Saccharomyces cerevisiae S288C: one gene and its partners. Changing the gene in region 1 together with any one later gene gives a genetic interaction. Each region holds a gene or a part of one and is shown on either strand. Other genes may lie near its edges. The genes, in order: SEC63, CWH41, YET3 and SIL1.

Region 1 (4,062 bases):
AGGTGGACATGGAATAAAAAATTGACTAATATTGGTAGAAGAACATGCTCTCCGGCGGGTCTACCTAATAGATCATTTTATAAGAACGTTTTGTTCGGACCAACATTGATACAGGAGGATAAATCTAAAAATGGTGGAAATGTAGATTTCTGGACATTTCCAGGAGTGATGGATGCGATTTACGATGATGACTGGAAGAGGGCTCAAGAACAAATTGACCTTATTGGCAAAGTACTCCATCAGTCTGCTGCATTGTTTGTCGAAGAGACTAATGACATCGGGTATAAATAAATTGAACTGAAAGAATACATATTGTAAGTATAAGGAAGTATGTTAATAAAATTTTTTCTTTAATTATGTAATACATGGCATGCAAGCATTTCTTCTTTTTGGGATGCTTTTCCTCTTAGTATCCTATGTTTGTATATATCTTTTTGTTAAATGACACGAGAGAAGGAGACAATAGGATAATTTTGAAATTTCTGTATCACAATCGTATCTAGTTTCTTCTCTACACCTTTGTTTTGACGCGATGTTTCCTCTTCAAAAAGCTTCCCAAGCAACTTAGATTTTCCAATCTCCTGATTATTTCGTTTTTCTTTAGAAGATTTTTTAGAATGCCTGTGCAAAGAGTGATAATCTTTAACTCTCAGGGAATGGTCGTCACAAAATCTGATATATACCGAAGAGACTTCTTCTTCTACATCCTCTTCAAGAACACTAGGCCTAGTCTGCATCTTATTACTCCTACCCCCTAATTTGTCACTTCTTATAGTATTTTTATCGTGAAATATTATTTTAACATCAGCATGGTTTGCTGTGACTTTCTTGATCTTTCTAACGGTTTCTGCGCACTGTTGGTGTTCAACTTTGTGGATGCTTCCGTCTTTTCTCTTTAAATTATTGCCAAAAATTTCATTGTGATAGAACCTTAGGGCATATTTTCTTTTGCTTAATTTTAAACGAGACAAATTGTTCCTTTGCAGTACATATACCCTTGGTGATTCTTGGCAACCCTTGGGAAACCTTGCAATCAGTAGTGGTTTCTTTTTGGAACTTCCTGGACATAGTCCAGACGGTTCATTTATCATGTCCTCAATGTGTATTTCGGAGAGGGGGCTCAAGTTCCAGCGAGTATTATATTGGTGAATGTGAAGTTTGTGGACATGCCACCTCCTCTTTAATTTCCGGCCACTGAACAGTTGACACAGTCGAAAATATAGGTAAAAAAAATGACCAGATTTGGACTTTCTCGGTGAAGGTGGTGCTCTCATGCTTCTTTTCTATTTTGAGTTATTAACGTCTTAGCTTTATAATGTCACAATCTGACTTCATTACTGACACAATCGCTCTTATAACGCGAATTGGTCACTCGTTACGGAAAGGCGTTTTCTGAAAAATTTGTCTTGAACACGTCGAAGATCACTGAACGAATAAAAGATGCGACTGGAACAATAGTCAGTTATAATTGACCAAAGAAGGCCTTCGCAACAAAATAAATATACTGCATATTACAGCACAATGCCTACAAATTACGAGTATGATGAGGCTAGTGAGACGTGGCCGTCCTTCATTTTAACGGGGCTCTTGATGGTCGTCGGGCCTATGACACTGCTTCAAATATACCAAATTTTTTTTGGGGCCAATGCTGAAGATGGGAATTCAGGGAAGAGTAAGGAGTTTAATGAGGAAGTTTTCAAGAACTTGAATGAAGAATACACCAGTGATGAAATCAAACAATTTAGAAGGAAGTTTGATAAAAATAGTAATAAGAAGTCCAAAATATGGAGCAGGAGAAATATTATAATTATTGTGGGTTGGATCTTAGTTGCAATTCTTCTGCAAAGGATTAATAGTAATGACGCGATTAAAGACGCTGCTACAAAATTATTTGATCCTTATGAAATCCTTGGTATCTCTACTAGTGCTTCCGATAGAGACATCAAATCTGCTTATAGAAAATTATCTGTTAAATTTCATCCAGATAAATTAGCAAAGGGCCTAACACCTGATGAGAAAAGTGTGATGGAAGAAACTTATGTTCAGATTACGAAGGCTTACGAATCCCTTACTGACGAATTGGTTAGGCAAAACTATTTGAAATACGGTCATCCAGATGGCCCACAATCTACTTCACATGGTATCGCTCTACCAAGATTTTTGGTAGATGGAAGTGCATCTCCATTATTAGTGGTTTGTTATGTTGCGCTACTAGGTTTAATCTTGCCATATTTTGTTAGTAGATGGTGGGCAAGAACACAATCGTATACTAAGAAGGGAATACATAATGTGACGGCTTCTAATTTTGTTAGTAACTTAGTCAATTACAAGCCATCTGAGATTGTCACCACAGATTTGATCTTACACTGGTTATCATTTGCTCATGAATTTAAACAATTCTTCCCGGATTTGCAACCAACGGATTTTGAAAAACTTTTGCAAGATCATATTAACCGCAGAGATAGTGGTAAACTTAACAATGCGAAATTTAGAATAGTGGCCAAATGTCACTCTTTGTTACACGGTTTATTGGATATTGCTTGTGGATTCAGAAATTTAGATATTGCATTGGGTGCAATCAATACTTTCAAGTGTATTGTTCAGGCTGTACCATTAACACCAAACTGTCAAATCCTTCAATTGCCGAACGTAGATAAAGAGCACTTTATTACCAAAACCGGAGATATTCATACATTAGGTAAATTGTTTACTTTAGAAGATGCCAAGATTGGTGAGGTTCTTGGAATAAAGGATCAAGCAAAGTTAAACGAAACTTTGAGAGTTGCATCGCATATTCCAAATCTAAAGATCATCAAGGCAGACTTCCTTGTCCCAGGTGAGAACCAAGTAACACCATCATCTACCCCATACATTTCTTTGAAAGTACTGGTTCGTTCTGCTAAACAGCCATTGATACCAACTAGCTTAATTCCTGAAGAAAATTTAACAGAACCTCAAGATTTTGAATCTCAAAGAGATCCATTTGCTATGATGAGTAAACAGCCACTCGTCCCATATTCCTTTGCACCATTTTTCCCTACAAAGAGACGTGGGAGTTGGTGCTGTCTGGTAAGTTCTCAAAAAGATGGTAAAATACTTCAAACGCCAATTATCATTGAAAAGCTATCTTACAAGAACTTGAACGATGACAAAGATTTCTTTGATAAGAGGATAAAAATGGATTTAACCAAACACGAAAAATTCGATATAAATGATTGGGAAATCGGGACCATAAAAATTCCATTAGGTCAGCCTGCACCTGAAACTGTTGGTGATTTCTTTTTTAGAGTAATCGTTAAATCCACAGATTATTTCACTACAGATTTGGATATTACCATGAATATGAAAGTTCGTGATTCTCCTGCAGTGGAACAAGTAGAGGTGTATTCTGAGGAGGATGATGAGTACTCTACTGATGACGACGAAACCGAAAGTGATGATGAAAGTGATGCTAGCGATTATACTGATATCGATACGGATACAGAAGCTGAAGATGATGAATCACCAGAATAGATATAAGTGATTAGTATAGTTTTTCATTTTAGCTCTTAGACGTATATATTTCATCTTTATAAAAATAGATACATGTGTATACAAAGCAAAACCAAAAAAAAAAAAAAAATTTTTCAGCCATCTGTTAAGAAATGTGTTTTTTCAATAAGATAGCATCTTGTTCGTCGCCATTTACACCTTTTATGAAATTGTTGACAGTTTCGCCCACTTGTTCGAAGCCATGAGCTATAAACCATTGCTTTGTAAGATCATCCACTGCTGGTAAATAGACAAACACGTTATGTTGATGACATTCTGAGCATTTGTCTTCTGCAAACTTCAGTAATTTTGAACCGATGGATTTGTGCCTATAATTAGGCAACACGCCCAAAAATTCGATTTGAATGCCCTTGAGAGATAGTTCGTTTTGTTTTTTAGGAACTAATTTAGCAACCAAACCACCCACTGGTATTTCACTGTAATAAGCCATCTGTGTGAAATGTACATCCTTCTTCGAAGATGGCTTTTTATTTTTTGCAACTAAGCTATCCTCAGCGAATAATGCACTGA
Region 2 (4,688 bases), on another chromosome or scaffold:
TGCTCCAGAGGGCAAAAGGTACGACGTTGCTAAGGAATATGTACAGGGAATTCTAAATGGTGCTAAGCATAAGGTTCTGTCCAAGGACGAATTCTTTGCCTTTCAAAAAGAGTCCTTGAAGTCCGCAAACGTTAAGAAGGAAATACTGGACGAATTTGATGAAAATCACAAGCACCCAATTAGATTTGGGGACTTTGGTGGTCAGTATGTCCCAGAAGCTCTTCATGCATGTCTAAGAGAGTTGGAAAAGGGTTTTGATGAAGCTGTCGCCGATCCCACATTCTGGGAAGACTTCAAATCCTTGTATTCTTATATTGGCCGTCCTTCTTCACTACACAAAGCTGAGAGATTAACTGAGCATTGTCAAGGTGCTCAAATCTGGTTGAAGAGAGAAGATCTTAACCACACGGGATCTCACAAGATCAACAATGCTTTAGCACAAGTTCTTCTAGCTAAAAGATTAGGCAAGAAGAACGTTATTGCTGAAACCGGTGCTGGTCAACACGGTGTTGCCACTGCCACTGCATGTGCTAAATTTGGCTTAACCTGTACTGTGTTCATGGGTGCAGAAGATGTTCGTCGCCAAGCTTTAAACGTCTTCAGAATGAGAATTCTCGGTGCTAAAGTAATTGCTGTTACTAATGGTACAAAGACTCTAAGAGACGCTACTTCAGAGGCATTCAGATTTTGGGTTACTAACTTGAAAACTACTTACTACGTCGTCGGTTCTGCCATTGGTCCTCACCCATATCCAACTTTGGTTAGAACTTTCCAAAGTGTCATTGGTAAAGAAACCAAGGAACAGTTTGCTGCCATGAACAATGGTAAATTACCTGACGCAGTTGTTGCATGTGTTGGGGGTGGTTCCAACTCTACAGGTATGTTTTCACCATTCGAGCATGATACTTCCGTTAAGTTATTGGGTGTGGAAGCCGGTGGTGATGGTGTAGATACAAAGTTCCACTCTGCTACTCTAACTGCCGGTAGACCTGGTGTCTTCCATGGTGTCAAGACTTATGTCTTGCAAGATAGTGATGGTCAAGTCCATGATACTCATTCTGTTTCTGCTGGGTTAGACTACCCAGGTGTCGGTCCAGAATTGGCATATTGGAAATCTACTGGCCGTGCTCAATTCATTGCAGCTACTGACGCTCAGGCTCTGCTTGGCTTTAAATTATTATCTCAATTAGAAGGTATTATTCCCGCTTTGGAATCTTCTCATGCTGTTTATGGCGCTTGCGAATTGGCTAAGACGATGAAGCCTGATCAACATTTGGTTATCAATATTTCTGGTAGAGGTGATAAAGATGTCCAAAGTGTCGCTGAAGTCTTGCCGAAATTAGGTCCAAAGATAGGTTGGGATTTGAGATTCGAAGAAGACCCATCTGCCTAATGAGTAATATCTGATAAGGAACGCTTTTATTTAGCTTTTTAACTACATAGACGAATATAATATACGATCGGGATACATTAGCATATTCAGCTCTTTTACCTCTCAATTTGCTCAAGATTAGTATCGTGACCAATTTTAGATCATTTCGGTCAGAACAGCCACATTTTCGCGTAATTTAAAAGTTCAATTATTGTATGCGTGACACACTATATTAGCGTCAACTGTTAATAAGGAAGTAGTGGATAATAACGGTTCAGGTTGCTTCACAATGCTTATTTCAAAATCTAAGATGTTTAAAACATTTTGGATACTAACCAGCATAGTTCTCCTGGCATCTGCCACCGTTGATATTAGTAAACTACAAGAATTCGAAGAATATCAAAAGTTCACGAATGAATCTTTACTGTGGGCACCGTATAGATCCAATTGTTACTTTGGTATGAGGCCCAGATATGTCCATGAAAGTCCACTAATTATGGGTATCATGTGGTTCAACAGTTTGAGTCAGGATGGCTTACATTCGTTAAGACATTTTGCAACGCCTCAGGATAAATTGCAAAAGTATGGTTGGGAAGTGTATGATCCAAGAATTGGTGGTAAAGAAGTTTTTATTGATGAAAAAAATAACTTGAACTTGACTGTTTATTTTGTAAAGAGCAAGAACGGGGAAAATTGGTCAGTGAGAGTTCAAGGTGAGCCTTTGGATCCCAAGAGACCATCTACAGCATCTGTCGTATTGTACTTTAGTCAAAATGGTGGCGAGATAGATGGAAAATCTTCCTTAGCAATGATAGGTCATGACGGCCCTAATGACATGAAATTCTTCGGATATTCTAAAGAATTAGGCGAGTATCATCTTACAGTAAAGGACAATTTTGGTCACTACTTCAAAAATCCGGAATATGAAACCATGGAAGTAGCACCAGGAAGTGACTGCTCTAAAACAAGTCATTTATCACTTCAAATCCCGGATAAAGAAGTTTGGAAGGCTCGTGATGTTTTCCAATCTCTAGTTAGCGATTCGATACGTGATATACTGGAAAAGGAAGAGACAAAGCAGCGTCCTGCTGATTTAATACCAAGTGTTTTAACTATTAGAAATTTGTACAATTTTAATCCTGGTAATTTTCATTATATACAAAAGACATTTGATTTGACCAAAAAAGATGGGTTCCAATTTGATATCACTTACAATAAACTTGGCACTACTCAAAGTATTTCCACCAGGGAACAAGTTACGGAGTTGATTACTTGGTCACTAAATGAGATAAACGCGCGTTTTGATAAGCAGTTTAGTTTTGGAGAAGGTCCCGACTCAATTGAAAGCGTGGAGGTCAAAAGAAGATTTGCTTTAGAGACGCTATCAAACCTATTAGGAGGAATCGGTTATTTCTATGGGAATCAACTAATTGATCGTGAAACAGAATTTGATGAGAGCCAGTTTACAGAGATCAAACTGCTGAATGCAAAAGAGGAAGGTCCATTTGAACTGTTTACCAGCGTTCCGAGCCGTGGCTTTTTCCCACGTGGATTCTATTGGGATGAAGGTTTCCATCTTCTACAAATTATGGAGTATGATTTTGACCTTGCCTTTGAAATCTTAGCGAGCTGGTTTGAAATGATCGAAGATGATAGTGGTTGGATTGCTAGAGAAATTATACTGGGTAATGAGGCAAGGAGTAAAGTTCCGCAGGAATTTCAGGTGCAAAATCCCAATATTGCTAATCCGCCAACTTTATTGCTAGCATTTAGTGAAATGCTTTCTAGGGCCATTGAAAACATCGGCGATTTCAACAGTGACAGCTACCACCAAGTCATGTTCAATAGTAGGACAGCCAAGTTTATGACGAACAATCTAGAAGCCAATCCTGGCTTGCTAACCGAATATGCCAAGAAAATTTATCCTAAGCTATTGAAGCACTATAATTGGTTCAGAAAATCTCAAACAGGACTTATTGATGAATATGAGGAAATATTGGAAGATGAAGGAATATGGGATAAGATTCATAAGAACGAAGTTTATAGATGGGTTGGGCGTACCTTCACTCATTGTTTGCCAAGCGGTATGGATGACTATCCTAGAGCACAACCACCAGATGTAGCAGAATTGAACGTAGACGCATTAGCATGGGTGGGCGTTATGACAAGATCCATGAAGCAAATTGCTCACGTGTTGAAGTTAACACAGGACGAGCAAAGATATGCACAAATTGAGCAAGAGGTGGTCGAGAATCTGGATTTGTTACACTGGAGTGAAAATGACAATTGCTACTGTGATATTAGCATCGATCCAGAAGACGATGAGATTAGGGAGTTTGTATGTCATGAGGGTTACGTCTCCGTATTGCCCTTTGCATTGAAGCTAATCCCCAAAAACTCACCCAAGCTAGAGAAAGTAGTTGCTTTGATGAGTGACCCAGAAAAAATCTTTTCAGACTACGGGCTGTTATCACTATCGAGACAAGACGACTATTTCGGCAAGGATGAAAACTATTGGAGAGGCCCAATTTGGATGAATATTAATTACTTGTGTCTTGACGCAATGAGATACTACTACCCAGAGGTGATTCTCGACGTGGCTGGTGAGGCTAGCAATGCCAAGAAACTGTACCAAAGTTTAAAGATTAATCTCAGTAACAACATATACAAAGTTTGGGAAGAACAAGGTTATTGTTATGAAAATTACAGTCCGATAGATGGTCATGGTACTGGTGCTGAGCATTTCACAGGCTGGACAGCACTTGTTGTCAACATCCTTGGACGCTTCTGAATCTATGTAGATATTTTCAGTCATATAAACAGATATGTAACCAGATATGTACCAGTATGCAGGATGAAAATTATAAATGTTCCAGCTATTCGAAAAGGGCCTCGCATCTCTTAGTTAGAGCCAGCATTTTCAGCTTTTTTTTTCTCGCGTTTATTTACATTTCGATGCGGCTGTGAGAAAAAGTTAAAAAATCGTGGAAACCAGCAACTGGTAACTAGCAGTCTGGGCCATTGCAGCTAAAAGCCAGACAAATAAACAATCGAAAACACACTCGAAACATGCATTATGAAATGTCACATTTTTTTTTTTCTTTTGGGGATTAATGGTTGCGAAGTGAGGTCTTTTCTATTTACTGCGGTAAGATGAATAAAAGTTAGGGAATGTTATTGTTTACAAGCTGGATACTAGATCTCAAAATGTTAAAGTGTAAGGACTGACAACAAAATATGCTGCACCGAAAACAAATTAAGAATCTGAGGAGGGACTATTTAAGTGGAAAGAAAATTGAAGTTCAATGATCGTGTT
Region 3 (3,071 bases), on another chromosome or scaffold:
AGATCTGAATCCGTTTCAATTTCATTCAAAATATCCTGGTTCTCTAACCAATGAAAATTGAAAAGCTCTTTTAGTTTTTTGCCCATTGAATGGACTTCATTGCCTTCTGGATTGAATTGGAAACAATTATAAAAGACAAGGTTGAGGTCGTCGACAAATTGATCAATTGTTTTGTACTTCCAGTTCATTAAATTATTTGATATTGTACCCAAATCCATAGGATTCTTCACGACATCAAAGTAATTTGGTAGATTCAAAGCAATCGGATCAACAGGTTGTAAAAAGGGAAAATTTATATCCGAATTTTTTTTACTCATCAAAACCTTTAGTATTTTCAGACAAGTCCTGAATTTTTTTTGTAAAGTCTTTGATTTTGGTTTGGAGTTTTCATATATATCAAACAAATCTTTTGATTTGGGTGGATGAATTGTTCTTTTGGGTCTACCACCACTGACGCCTTCTCTATTTCCGCTTTCCCCAATATTGTCATTGGTGGTACTAACTGAACGTCTAATGACAAGTGGGGAATCCATATCCTCATTTTTTTTCCGGTTTCTGCTTGTTTTCTTCAAGGCAGAAGCGGGTAAAACTCTTGGTGGCATTGCAGATAACTTTTTTTCAAAATACTTTTGAATCCTTTTAGCCATCGAAGAGATTGAAGATTCTGGACCATTAAAGTTTAAACAATTATCCACCATTGTTTTGAAGTCCGATGTGACTTGCTCTACTGAATGATACACGTTGCCCTGCAATTTTGTTTCAATTAAAGACAAATCCATTGGGGTTTGAACGTAGTTGAAATAATGCGGGATGTTCAAAGCAATAGGATCAACCGGCTTCAGAAACGGTCTAGCATCTTTTAATCGTTTGGTCGCCTTAATGGAGCTTAAAAGGTATTTACTTTGGTGTGGTGGTAGTTCCTCCGCTTCCATTTCAGCTTCCAACGCCGGCTCTGTTTCCCGTTCTAGGCCCAAAGGGTGCTCGGGAAAACTTTCCGGAGTGGATGCATTACTAATGGAAATGGGAGACAAAGTTTGGTGGGCGTGGGATGAAGAATTCAGGTTAGTGATACCGCTGCTCGCAAGTTTGTAATTTTCCTCGTGTCCATAGTGGAAGATATCCCTGAAGTGGGGTCCATCGTCGATACTTACCGCGCTGACATTACCGCTATCGTCACCGACGCCGACATTGATATTGTTTTTGTTACTACTACTCTCGCTGCTGCTGTTGCTGCTCCTGCTATTTGCAGTAGCACTCTGTGGTGCTGCCAGTAAAGCAGAATGTGCGTGTCTTGTATCCATGTTAGTACGAGACATAGCCGCCGAGGTTTATTTCGCTCAATCTGTTTGTTTCAGTTTTTCCGCGTTCTCTCTTTTTCGCTCTTTTCTGGCTACCGCGCCCGCCTTATATATAAAATCTCTTCCGAATAACAAAGTGGCCGAAACAAGCGCCAACGTCGACCATTTTGCCACCGTGTCACTGTGCACGAGCAACGAAAAACTGGCGTTGGTTGCGCCTCACGAATTGCTTGAGCCTCTTCCCAATATCATCGCGCATTTATTTGAGTCATTCTCTGCCGCTTTATTATTAAAAGTCTGTGTGCTATCAAAATGCTCTTGCTCCTGTTCACCCTCTATGCGTAAACACTTGCGCGTTTCTCCCTTTCTCTTTTAGCGTTGTTGACGTTGCACTCTTTTTTCGCCTCTTTCTTTTTTTAGCTAGAGGGTCACCCTGCCTGCTTCACTCCATTAAGGGGAAGAAGAGTGGAAAAGTGCCGTATATAACAATGGTATATAGCAAATCCCGATTTAGTAGGAAGATAGAATAGTGAGCTCTTCCAAGGTAACCACGTCACATTATACTCATAACCATAGAATTCACAGAATTGAATCATGTCATTATATTACACCTTGGTTTTTGCCATTCTAGTGGTGGAGATTTTCATGTTCTCCATTCTAGCCCTACCAATCCCTTCTAGATACCGTAGGCCTCTCACCTTACTGTTATTAAAGCCGTTCAAATCCTCCACAGTGCAAGTTGCGATCAAGTGTGTACTTGGGTTCATTCTTTTGCTTTTCATCGATTGTATCAACAGAGTGTACAGCATCGACAAAGAGCTGCAGTTAAGTAGCGCCTCTCAAAATAATGGCGCTATAATCGCTCAAGATAGAATTGAGGTTCTTTCTAGGAAATTCTTTGCCCAAAGGAATATGTATTTGACAGGTATAACTTTGTTTTTGACCTTTGTCGTCGTTAGGACTTTTGGGCTAGTCATAGAACTTTTAACCATGAAAGACATATACAGAGCATCGCCTCCAGTAGCCTCCAGCGATGTCAAGAAGAACGACTCTGTTACTGCCGAAGCTGCTGCTCAATCCGGCGCTTCCAAGGATGACCACGGCGATGAGAAAAATTTTGAACTATTGAAGAAAATTCAGGACATCGATGACGAAATTGCACGTTTAAAGGAGAAGTCGGAATCGTTGCAAGAAGAAATAAATTAGTTTGACGTTTTATTCCTTTTCTTCTGCACAGAAGTGTGTATATATATATTTATATATAGTCGATGTGCAAAAGCCTACATTATTTTTCTTTTGATTTTTATTTTTTTGTTCAAGTAGGTTCATGCCGACAGTAAATCCTTATGCCCTACCTAAATATAAACACCCAAATATATATATATATATATATATATATAAATAATAAAAACGGAAAGGAAATAGAATAATAATAATAATACTACACGTTTACGTATGTAACTCATTCTATTATTCAGACTTTGATATTAATAGAATTATTACTACTAGGTTTCCTCACTTCAAAATCTATAAATATACCGTCATGCTCTAATCGATTGGAAAACTCAAAATATTCTCTTACTGTAGCATTGAACGTCTCAATTAAAACACAGATTTTTTGTATCCTTGTTCTCAACTTCATATCTTGGATCTGCTTCCAAATTGTCACCTCCCGCCCCCCAGTAACTTTCAAATCTTCCACATTCTGATTACCAATTTTGGCTACATCTTGCTCATCTTCCATACATTTGCCAAAAATATTAAAATCAGGCA
Region 4 (3,720 bases), 540 kb from region 1:
GAAGTCGAGGATGATGATTCAGAAGATGAAGAAGCGGAAGATGAAGATGAAGAGGAAGAAGAGGATGAAGAGGAGGTGTCGTCGTCTTCTTCGTCGTCATCGTCCTTAGCATCACAACTTTGTTGGGTGGCGATTCCGGTTCCCATAGGAGAACCTGCTCCAGATGTGAAGTAAGCAGAAGCAGCACTTGGCATAGCAGGCAAAGTGTTATTAGCTTCCCAGACACCCTTTTCATAATCAGGACATGTAGAATAGTTGTTGGAAGTACTGTAACCACCATTGCCTTCTGGGTTGGATACTTTGCTGTATTCATTTTTCAAGTTTTCAAAATCTGTCAATTTAGTGACCTTGTCACCATCAATTTGAACGAGCCCGTAATTGTTAGTTTCATTGGAATATTCGTAGACTAGCCCACCGGAGAATACAGAAGACATTTGAGTGGAATAGATAGCTTCAATTTCTGTGAATGGACGAGAGCTCTTGACTTGGTTACAACCAAATTCACTTAAGAAGACAGGAACGGAGTAATCTTGATATAGCTTCATCTTGGTGGAATAACCCGATACCACAAATGAAGATTCACCACACCAAGAATAGTCATTAACACCAAACATGTCGATTCTAGCGTCAGCTTCATCACCACAGTTAAAGTATTCAGCAGCCAATTGTCTGTTAGCGACGATATCAGCAGCCGAGTAACCTACCGGAATTTGTCTGTATTTTCTAGCCTTGATGTATTTCTTCATGTCCCTGACCACTGCCTTGACATAAGTAGCAGTGTTGGTAGTATTAACACTATTGATGACCTCGTTACCAGCGAAAAAACCTAGAACATTGTCGTAATCAGCAAAGGTATCAATGGTGGCAAAGACATTTTGTAAGTAGTCAGCGTTATAGGAGCAGGCTGGATCGTAACGAGAAATAGCACTCGTGGGGGTATTGACATCCAGGATCAAGTATATACCGTTCTCCTGCAATAGTTTCATACAATGGGAATGATCTTGCGAGTTATCCACAGTATAAACTCTGACAGTATTTATCCCTAGATCTTTCAGAACGGGGACGTCTCTGTCACAGACAGATGCGTCTGCTAAGGGATCAGTCAAGTTAGAAGAACCACCAGGCTGGTAATCAACACCACGGATATAAAACCTTTCACCTGATTCCGAATTAAAAAATGCATTGCCTTTAATTTCAATGGATGGTGTGGAACTGTTACTGCTGCTAGCAGCCTGAGCCAAACCAGCACTTAAAACGAAGGCACTTGTAAGAGAACGTAGTAACATAGCTATTTAGAGCTGTGTGTGTAGCGAGTGATATATAATATGTTTGTTACAGCCCACTGTTTACTTTTATATACGAAATGCAACACTGTCAACAAATCAGTTCAGGGACCTTCCTATTTATAGTATAAGCAAAATAAAAGTGAAAAATTTCCTGCGGAGTTTTTTTTCTCGAGAAATTGTGAACAAAAGAAAGCAAAGACACAGAAGATGATAAGAGAGAGAAACAACGAAGAAAGAACAACAATGTTGGGGTTCACCCGAGAGATATTGACATACTGACCTTAGAAAAGGCATTACTGAGGCTACTGACTAAAGCGCGTTACATAAATGCATAGTATATTTCTTGTTGTATACGCAGCGGCCAACTAGTGGCAGCAAGAATGTAATGAACGATTCATCTGCAGGTTTGGAGGCCGCAACTAGATCAAAACGTAAATAGCGGGTGAAGTGTTCTGGACGTTAGAAGTAACGTCCGCAGATCGAAGCTAAACACGAGATTAGATTTCGGGTAACGGAATTGTGATAATTAAGAAAGACCAGACTATGTGAAAAGGCCACGTAAATGATAGAGCACACATTAGCAACTATAATAGACTAGTTTTCGCATCGCTGGAAGTTCTCGATATTGAATATCACTTCCAAGAACGCAAACTTAGAATGGTCCGGATTCTTCCCATAATTTTGAGCGCCCTATCTTCGAAATTAGTGGCGAGTACAATATTGCATTCATCCATACACTCAGTGCCATCTGGAGGCGAAATCATATCTGCAGAAGATCTTAAAGAACTTGAAATTTCAGGGAATTCGATCTGCGTTGATAATCGTTGCTATCCTAAGATATTTGAACCAAGACACGATTGGCAGCCCATACTGCCAGGTCAAGAACTCCCCGGTGGTTTGGACATTAGAATAAACATGGACACAGGTTTAAAAGAGGCAAAACTAAATGATGAGAAGAATGTCGGTGATAATGGTAGCCATGAGTTAATTGTATCTTCAGAAGACATGAAAGCATCGCCTGGTGACTATGAATTTTCCAGTGATTTCAAAGAAATGAGAAACATCATAGATTCTAACCCGACTTTATCTTCACAGGACATTGCCAGATTGGAGGATAGTTTTGATAGAATAATGGAATTTGCGCATGATTACAAGCACGGCTACAAAATTATTACCCATGAATTCGCCCTCTTGGCCAACCTTAGTCTCAATGAAAATTTGCCGTTAACATTGAGAGAGCTCAGTACTAGAGTCATTACCAGCTGCTTGAGAAACAATCCTCCTGTAGTCGAGTTCATTAATGAAAGTTTTCCAAATTTTAAAAGCAAAATCATGGCCGCTCTGTCAAATTTGAATGATTCTAACCACAGATCCTCTAATATCCTAATAAAAAGATACTTGTCCATTTTAAACGAATTACCTGTCACATCCGAAGATCTTCCTATATACTCTACGGTTGTTTTACAAAATGTATATGAAAGAAACAACAAGGACAAACAGTTACAAATAAAAGTCCTGGAGTTGATCAGCAAAATTTTGAAGGCCGACATGTACGAAAATGACGATACAAATCTAATTTTGTTCAAAAGAAATGCTGAGAATTGGTCGTCAAATCTGCAAGAGTGGGCAAACGAGTTCCAAGAGATGGTCCAGAACAAAAGTATAGATGAACTACATACAAGAACGTTTTTTGACACCCTTTACAACTTGAAGAAAATTTTCAAAAGTGACATCACGATCAACAAAGGGTTTTTGAATTGGTTAGCGCAACAATGTAAAGCCAGGCAATCTAACTTGGACAATGGGCTCCAAGAGAGAGATACTGAACAAGACTCATTTGATAAGAAACTTATCGACAGCAGACACTTGATCTTTGGCAACCCCATGGCTCATAGAATAAAAAATTTCAGAGATGAACTCTGATTTCACTGTCATTGCATATATAGTTTAATATTAATAATATTTTTTTCAATTAATATTTCGTGAATCTTATTAGAGATATATTATATATCCGTGTCTAATTTTTAGTTACTTCATCCAAAAACGTCCCGTCGTTGGCCAGTCTATTTCTAAATTTGTCCCACCATGTATCAAACCTCTTGATGGGCACGTTTCCCTGAGCATCTAGGAACCCTGATAAATAGTTATATGCATGCTGAACGATTTTGGCGGCCAATTCTTGTGTCAATGAAGGGTAAACTTGTGCCAACTGCCCTGCCGTGGTAATATTTCGAATTATTCCTAAGTTAGGTCTTGACAAGATCAATGAGTTGTTCTTTTGTGCTTCGGCATTCATGCTGGCCTTCCACTCTTCTAATTTCATCATTCCTTGTTCTCGAGGCTCAATGGAAATACCAATAATCAATTCTGATATGTTATTACTGCTACTTCCATTGGTGTCAGTAAACGGATCAGCGGCCCCCGAACCATCATC

The links.
Region 2: mutations in SEC63 (region 1) and CWH41 together harm fitness more than expected from each alone (negative genetic interaction), as found in Saccharomyces cerevisiae (4 studies listed by BioGRID).
Region 3: mutations in SEC63 (region 1) and YET3 together harm fitness more than expected from each alone (negative genetic interaction), as found in Saccharomyces cerevisiae (3 studies listed by BioGRID, with this or other methods).
Region 4: mutations in SEC63 (region 1) and SIL1 together harm fitness more than expected from each alone (negative genetic interaction), as found in Saccharomyces cerevisiae (4 studies listed by BioGRID, with this or other methods).

What each region holds. Positions count from the first base shown.
Region 1 is NC_001147.6:804,483-808,544, reverse strand, and holds SEC63 (protein-transporting protein SEC63), read left to right. Parts: upstream 1-1,521; coding exon 1,522-3,513; downstream 3,514-4,062. Other genes in the region: TRE2 (putative zinc metalloprotease), read left to right, coding at 1-291; OSW1 (Osw1p), read right to left, coding at 438-1,274; peptide alpha-N-acetyltransferase subunit NAT5, read right to left, coding at 3,638-4,062. UniProt on the Saccharomyces cerevisiae protein: Acts as a component of the Sec62/63 complex which is involved in SRP-independent post-translational translocation across the endoplasmic reticulum (ER) and functions together with the Sec61 complex and KAR2 in a channel-forming translocon complex.
Region 2 is NC_001139.9:443,117-447,804, reverse strand, and holds CWH41 (mannosyl-oligosaccharide glucosidase), read left to right. Parts: upstream 1-1,661; coding exon 1,662-4,163; downstream 4,164-4,688. Other genes in the region: tryptophan synthase TRP5, read left to right, coding at 1-1,393. UniProt on the Saccharomyces cerevisiae protein: Cleaves the distal alpha 1,2-linked glucose residue from the Glc(3)Man(9)GlcNAc(2) oligosaccharide precursor highly specifically. Seems to play a role in beta-1,6-glucan synthesis.
Region 3 is NC_001136.10:329,269-332,339, reverse strand, and holds YET3 (Yet3p), read left to right. Parts: upstream 1-1,892; coding exon 1,893-2,504; downstream 2,505-3,071. Other genes in the region: BDF2 (Bdf2p), read right to left, coding at 1-1,316; AHK1 (Ahk1p), read right to left, coding at 2,773-3,071. UniProt on the Saccharomyces cerevisiae protein: May play a role in anterograde transport of membrane proteins from the endoplasmic reticulum to the Golgi. May be involved in invertase secretion.
Region 4 is NC_001147.6:265,753-269,472, reverse strand, and holds SIL1 (Sil1p), read left to right. Parts: upstream 1-1,943; coding exon 1,944-3,209; downstream 3,210-3,720. Other genes in the region: GAS5 (1,3-beta-glucanosyltransferase), read right to left, coding at 1-1,286; OPI10 (Opi10p), read right to left, coding at 3,304-3,720. UniProt on the Saccharomyces cerevisiae protein: Required for protein translocation and folding in the endoplasmic reticulum (ER). Functions as a nucleotide exchange factor for the ER lumenal chaperone KAR2.